Linked DNA regions of Saccharomyces cerevisiae S288C. The protein of the gene in region 1 interacts with the protein of each later gene in a pairwise test. Each region holds a gene or a part of one and is shown in the gene's direction. Other genes may lie near its edges.

Region 1 (3,759 bases):
GAATGTTCCAGAGATAGCTGTTGTTCAGTACTTAGAGAGAATTCAAAAGTACTGTCCCACCACAAATGATATTTTTCTTTCTCTCCTTGTATATTTCGATAGAATCTCCAAAAATTATGGGCATTCTTCTGAGCGTAATGGTTGCGCAAAGCAATTATTCGTCATGGACTCCGGGAACATTCATAGATTGCTCATAACAGGTGTCACAATTTGCACGAAGTTCTTGAGTGATTTTTTTTACAGTAACTCTCGATACGCCAAGGTTGGAGGTATTTCTTTGCAAGAGTTAAACCATTTAGAATTACAATTCCTGATACTATGTGATTTCAAGTTATTGGTTTCAGTCGAAGAAATGCAGAAATATGCAAACTTGTTATATAAATTCTGGAACGACCAGTAGAATGCTGTCCTGCATATTATTCATGCCCTTCCCTTACCGTTACTCGTATTATACATATCAATTTCTGATTTACGTAACGCGTACATATCGGTTATATTTAAATAATTTAATATTCCTTTTAAATCAGTGGTTTTTCATATTAGTAGCATTTCTCCTGAAATGATAGCTATTGCAATAGAATGAAAAAAAAAACTTTTTGCCCAAATAAATCATAATCTACCGGTAAAGAGAAATTCGGTCCTTGTTCTATTCAGTATTATGCTTTCTCTTTTTTTTCCAAAATGAGAATTAAGGACGTTTCGAAAAAGTAAAAATATACCAAATGTGGAATATAAATAGGTTTATCGGCGGACCGATCTGGCTTAAAACGTAGAATCTACCAGTCCAATGTACTTTGATGAAGAACAATTGCTAAAATATACTATATATGCCTATAGATTATCCTTTTTTGTAGGCATTTGCTCACTTTTCATAGCAAAAAGTTGTCTACCAGAATTTCTTCAATATGGTAAAACCTACCGGCCCAAAGAGAATTCAAAGTACTCAAGCATTTTAGAACGAATCAAGAAGTTCACAGTTCCAAAGGCGTATTTTTCCCATTTTTACTATTTGGCTACCTTTCTATCCTTAGTCACCTTATATTTCTATCCTAAATTCCCCATCGTTTGGATCATATTTGGACACTCATTGCGCCGACTTTATGAAACGCTTTATGTACTACATTATACAAGCAATTCTAGGATGAATTGGTCCCATTATCTAGTCGGTATATGGTTCTATTCCGTACTCTTGTTAATTCTTAATATATCACTGTACAAGAACTCCATTCCAAATACGTTAAACATGAATGCTTTCATCATATTCTGCATAGCATCTTGGGATCAGTACAAAAATCATGTTATTCTGGCCAATCTGGTTAAATATTCGCTGCCAACAGGAAGGCTTTTCAGGTTGGTATGCTGTCCTCATTATCTCGATGAAATAATCATTTATTCTACTCTGTTGCCCTATGAACAAGAATTTTACCTAACACTAGTTTGGGTAATCACAAGTTTGACTATATCCGCATTGGAAACAAAAAATTATTACAGGCACAAATTTAAAGACAATCACGTAGCCCCCTACGCCATAATACCTTTTATAATCTAGTAATGTGCACACTAGGGCATTCATATACATATATATATAGACGCGGTAAAGAACCACTTTACTTTCACTATTATCACTTTACCACTAATTAGACAGCAAAGGCTCGTATACGTGTCATTAAAAACGAAGGTAAGGCCATACCTTTTTGAGGCAGTTGGAAAGAGTAAATACTGGCACAGTGGCTAAGACCTATCACTGCCAAACAAAAGGTTAGACATCTTGGGAATTTCGGACACATTCGTTACTTAAAACGAGGACCAAAATTACTCAATACCTATTTTTTATTTAATATTTTAGGCATTGTTTCACCTGAATTTGCTGCTATTAGAAGCCTGATCTACGCAATAAAAGATTTCATCTGGATTTTTGAAGCTTATACAGTACTCAACAATCAGCTTATTAACAGCAATATACCGTTAAGCAATTGAGAAAAAGTAACAATCAGAGCACTTGTGTGGCATAACGTTAATCTGAAAAAGAAAGGGGTATCAGTGTGCACGGAAAACTTCAGAGACAAATGCCTAACCCTCCTTCATTTAAGTCACATAAGCAGAATTTATTCAACTCCAACAATAATCAACACGCAAACAGTGTAGATTCTTTTGACTTACATCTCGACGATTCATTTGACGCTGCTTTAGACAGTTTACAAATTAATAATAACCCAGAACCACTTAGTAAGCATAACACTGTTGGAGATAGGGAAAGTTTTGAAATGAGAACAGTAGATGATTTAGACAATTTTTCTAACCATTCTTCGGATTCGCATCGTAAGTCTTCAAACACAGATACCCATCCTTTGATGTATGATAATCGCCTCTCGCAGGATGATAATTTCAAATTTACTAATATTGCTTCGTCACCACCGTCGTCTTCAAACAATATTTTTTCAAAAGCCCTCTCATATTTAAAAGTATCTAACACAAAAAACTGGTCCAAGTTTGGTTCACCCATAGAACTCAGTGATCAACACATCGAAAGAGAAATACATCCAGACACGACTCCTGTGTACGATAGGAATAGATACGTTTCGAATGAACTATCTAATGCCAAATATAATGCCGTTACTTTTGTGCCAACCCTATTATATGAACAGTTCAAATTCTTTTACAATTTATACTTTTTAGTAGTTGCATTATCGCAGGCCGTTCCTGCACTAAGAATAGGGTATTTATCATCGTATATTGTACCTTTAGCATTTGTGCTGACAGTAACCATGGCAAAGGAAGCTATAGATGATATTCAGAGAAGGAGACGTGATAGAGAGTCAAACAATGAACTGTATCATGTAATAACGAGAAATCGTTCCATACCAAGCAAAGACTTAAAAGTTGGAGATCTCATAAAAGTCCATAAAGGTGATCGTATTCCCGCTGATTTGGTTCTTTTACAATCAAGTGAACCATCAGGCGAGTCATTTATCAAAACTGACCAACTAGATGGGGAGACTGACTGGAAACTACGTGTTGCCTGTCCCTTGACCCAAAATCTATCTGAAAATGACTTAATTAACAGAATTAGTATAACAGCCTCTGCTCCTGAGAAATCTATTCATAAATTTTTAGGTAAAGTTACCTATAAGGATTCCACTTCAAACCCTTTGTCTGTAGATAATACTCTATGGGCGAATACTGTTCTAGCTTCCAGTGGATTTTGTATTGCTTGTGTCGTCTACACTGGCAGAGATACTAGGCAAGCTATGAATACAACTACAGCTAAGGTTAAAACTGGCTTATTAGAGCTAGAAATTAACAGTATTTCCAAGATTCTTTGTGCATGTGTTTTTGCCCTGTCAATTCTTTTAGTTGCATTTGCCGGTTTCCACAATGACGACTGGTACATTGACATTTTGAGGTATCTGATATTGTTTTCTACCATCATCCCTGTCTCTTTAAGAGTTAATTTAGATTTAGCCAAAAGTGTTTATGCACATCAGATCGAACACGATAAAACCATTCCTGAAACAATTGTTAGAACGAGTACAATTCCAGAGGATTTAGGCCGTATTGAATACCTTCTAAGCGACAAAACAGGGACGCTTACTCAGAATGATATGCAATTGAAGAAAATACACTTGGGTACTGTATCATACACGTCGGAAACATTAGACATTGTATCCGACTATGTACAATCTCTGGTGAGCTCTAAAAATGACTCTTTGAACAATTCTAAAGTTGCCTTATCAACAACAAGAAAGGATATGTCTTTTC
Region 2 (3,759 bases), on another chromosome or scaffold:
ACACAAACTGTGTTTTCTTACCATAAAATCTTTTACCGGAGGTCGAAATCGTTTTCTTTCTGATTTGGAATTCGACGCTCGAAAAGTGCAGAGATCTCATATTGTTAACGGACTATCATCTAACTTTTTGCATAATTTATACAACATGCTCAGATATCATATGCAAGGTTTTAGTGGGTACGGTGTCCAGTATTCTCCCTTTTTCGATAACAGGCTCGCGGTAGCTGCTGGTTCAAACTTTGGCCTGGTTGGGAATGGAAAATTGTTCATCCTTGAGATTGATCGTTCAGGTAGAATAGTGGAAGTTAATTCCTTTTTAACACAGGATTGTTTATTTGATCTTGCATGGAACGAAAGTCATGAAAACCAAGTGTTGGTTGCACAGGGCGATGGTACATTACGCTTGTTTGATACAACCTTTAAAGAGTTTCCTATTGCTATATTTAAAGAGCATGAACGAGAAGTATTCAGTTGTAATTGGAACTTAGTCAACAGGCAGAATTTCTTAAGTAGTTCATGGGATGGATCTATAAAAATATGGTCCCCTCTAAGAAAGCAAAGTTTAATGACCCTTACTCCACGACCTTTAGAGATTACCAAAATGGTGGATCCATTAAACGCCATTATATTGAAAAAGAAAAGCTTTACAGGTATTTCAAAAAACAGGAACTGTGTATACCAAGCACAGTTCTCGCCCCACGACCAAAATCTCGTATTATCCTGTTCAGGGAATTCTTATGCAAGCTTATTTGACATTAGACTACCTTCCGGCAAAAATCAGAATAATTTTTTAGTGCATTCAGGACTAGAAGCATTGACTTGCGATTTCAACAAATACAGACCTTATGTAGTTGCCACAGGAGGTGTAGATAATGCCATTAGAATCTGGGACATTAGGATGCTAAATAAAAATGAATCAGCGACTATCAAGAGGACTGTGCCCGGCCAACTTCACAATTCATCATGCATCAATGAAATCCCTAATGCGCACGGGCTGGCAATCAGAAAAGTTACCTGGTCCCCTCATCATTCCAATATTTTAATGTCAGCTTCATATGATATGACCTGTCGAATATGGAGAGATCTCAGCAACGATGGTGCAAAAGAAACATATAAAACTAACTCTACGGATGCTACTAAAGGTTCCATTTTCAATTTCACACAGCATTCAGAATTCGTATTTGGAGCTGACTGGAGCTTGTGGGGAAAGCCAGGATATGTGGCTTCAACTGCATGGGATGGAAATTTATTTGTATGGAACGGCTTAGGTTGACACATATTCTTTTTACACAAATTTTTTGCATTATTTAAACTTTAAAATTATTTTTCAATCATTGTCAGCATTTGGCAGATCATTTACGTAATTATTTAATATTCTCAACACGAAATTATGGGTAACAACGCTTCTGACTGTGCAAAAGAACATTCTAAAAACATACCTACGGCAAAAACTGCTAATTACTCAAATTAATCAAGTTTTTATAACGACATAAGCGAGTGCTGAAAGAAGGAATATTTAGAGTCCGATTACCGTTTTATTAATAAACGACATACTTATATATTTGCTGGGCGTTCCACCCGAGGCACGTGATCAAAAGTGATTTTGGTTTTTTCAAAGGCTAAGCTTCGATCTCACTGGAAAAGGAACAATAGCAATACCTAATATAAAACTCAAGCCTCCCAATTATGTTTATAACGGTGAAATAAAAAGCCGACAGAGCAGCTTTTTCTGAGAGGATCGACAAAAAATGTCCTTACCACTAAAGCCCCTTACAATTGACTCAAATAATAAACAACTAGACTCCAAACAGAAGAAGTTTCGTGCTAATGTCGAGCGAGCATTAGAAAGATTTGACTCTGTAACAGAATGGGCGGACTATATTGCTAGTTTGGGAACACTATTAAAGGCGTTGCAAAGCTGGTCACCTAAATTTCAGAATGTAAGGTACTATGTTCCTTCTCCATATCAAGTAAGTCGAAGATTGACATCCTCATTATCGCCGGCGTTACCAGCAGGTGTTCATCAGAAAACTTTAGAAGTATATACGTATATCTTTGAACATATTGGCCTTGAAACTCTGGCTACAGAATGTAACATTTGGATCCCGGGAATTTTACCTTTGATGACTTATGCCTCTATGTCTGTTAGGTCACATTTGATAGAGCTTTACGATAACTATATCCTTCTGTTGCCTCAAACAACGTTAAGACTGCTCATCAGACCTTTGATTTCTAGTTTATTGCCAGGAATTGATGATGAAAGCAACGATTTTTTACCTTTAACTTTAAAACTCATTGAGACTCTGCAGGAGAACTTGGATGATGATTCCTTATTTTGGCAAACGTTGTTTCTAGTCATGACTGCAAATAAAGGCAGAAGACTGGGCGGACTCACGTGGTTGACTAGAAAGTTTCCGTCGTTGAATGCTGTACCTCATCTAGTAAATAAAATAAAAATGGAAGCGGAAGAGAACCCAAGTGAAACTGAAACCAACGATTCTCATCTAGACAGGAAAAAAAGAAAAGAAGAAGCTTTCAAGGTCTTATTGCCTGCTGCCAAAGATTTAGTAACCCCTGAACCAGGTCTACTTATCCGATGCCTTGTCGGTTGTTTAGAAGATGAAAATGATATTCTTATTAAAAGGAGCGTTTTGGACCTTTTATTACAGAGGTTGAGGCTAGACTCTCCCGTTTTGAATGTTCTTATTACTTCTGAGGATAAAAAGTTATTGATAATGAGTTGTTGTAGAACTACTTTGAGCAAGGATATGTCTTTGAACAGAAGAATATGGAACTGGCTTCTCGGTCCTACTGCTGGGGGCATGCTAAACAATAACGGCGGGAACTCCATGGAATATACTACCTCGGTTAAGTCAGCAAACGAGGAAAGTAATGTATATTTTACAAAATATGGATTAAGCGCCCTTTTAGAAGGTTTAAGCGACCTTCTTTCAGAAGAAGAATCCGTGTTAACTGCATTCAGGATAAGTATGGCAGTAATGGATAGATGGGAAATTGGCTCACTTGTAATTCCTGAATTGTTCATCCCACTTCTCTATTCCTCGGAAAAATTTAAACAAAACGAACAAATAATGAAAACGGCACGTACTTTCTTTGACAATACTGAAACAAATATTATATGGGGAAAGCTATTTCAAGAACTTGAAGACATCAAAAACCTAAAAATTTTGGATTTCGTATTAACAAATTTTAATATTGGAAACGACGAAGAGATTATCGTACGCCACCTTCCTTTGATATTATTAACTTTACTGGCCCTTCCATCTAATGATAAAGATTTCGACAATATTTATAAGCTCCAAAAATTTTCTTTGTACAACAAATTGTTAAACTATATCCCCGAGAGAGCCCTTCTCCCTCTCAGTCACTCAAAACTAAAGCACGATGATGAAGTAAGCTGCGAAGAACTTTTGGCCAAAATACGTGGGTTTTATACCAATGTTTCTAATCCATCTAGCATTTTAGAGAAAGAAAATATAGCTGAGCGTTTGCCACCCTTTACAACAGAAGATCTAACTTTTTTAATAGCAGACCTGATTCAGAAGAAGCTTCTTTCAAGTTTATGGGACTTGGAAAATATCAATGAAAGCTCCAAATTATTTATAGCTATTTTCGAAAAGATACCTGAGTCTGAAGAACTTAAAGGACGATCTCACATAAGCTGGTCGGATAAAAAAATAACTCAGAGCATATTTGAGGCTATTCCCAGGCTTTGTGAATCTAATAATGATGCAAAAT

What was found. The genes of interacting proteins can lie anywhere in the genome.
Region 2: the proteins of NEO1 (region 1) and DOP1 interact in binary tests that used the Saccharomyces cerevisiae proteins (3 or more experiments, as listed by UniProt).

Annotation. Positions count from the first base shown.
Region 1 is NC_001141.2:259,371-263,129, forward strand, and holds the start of NEO1 (aminophospholipid-translocating P4-type ATPase NEO1), read left to right. Parts: upstream 1-2,066; coding exon 2,067-3,759. Other genes in the region: PCL7 (Pcl7p), read left to right, coding at 1-400; DFG10 (putative polyprenol reductase), read left to right, coding at 788-1,549. UniProt on the Saccharomyces cerevisiae protein: Flippase that catalyzes the hydrolysis of ATP coupled to the transport of lysophosphatidylserine, phosphatidylethanolamine, and phosphatidylserine from the lumenal to the cytosolic leaflet of the Golgi apparatus membrane and ensures the maintenance of asymmetric distribution of phospholipids.
Region 2 is NC_001136.10:737,987-741,745, reverse strand, and holds the start of DOP1 (Dop1p), read left to right. Parts: upstream 1-1,748; coding exon 1,749-3,759. Other genes in the region: PEX7 (Pex7p), read left to right, coding at 146-1,273. UniProt on the Saccharomyces cerevisiae protein: Required for traffic between late Golgi and early endosomes, and for the normal structure and organization of the endoplasmic reticulum. Required for normal cellular morphogenesis.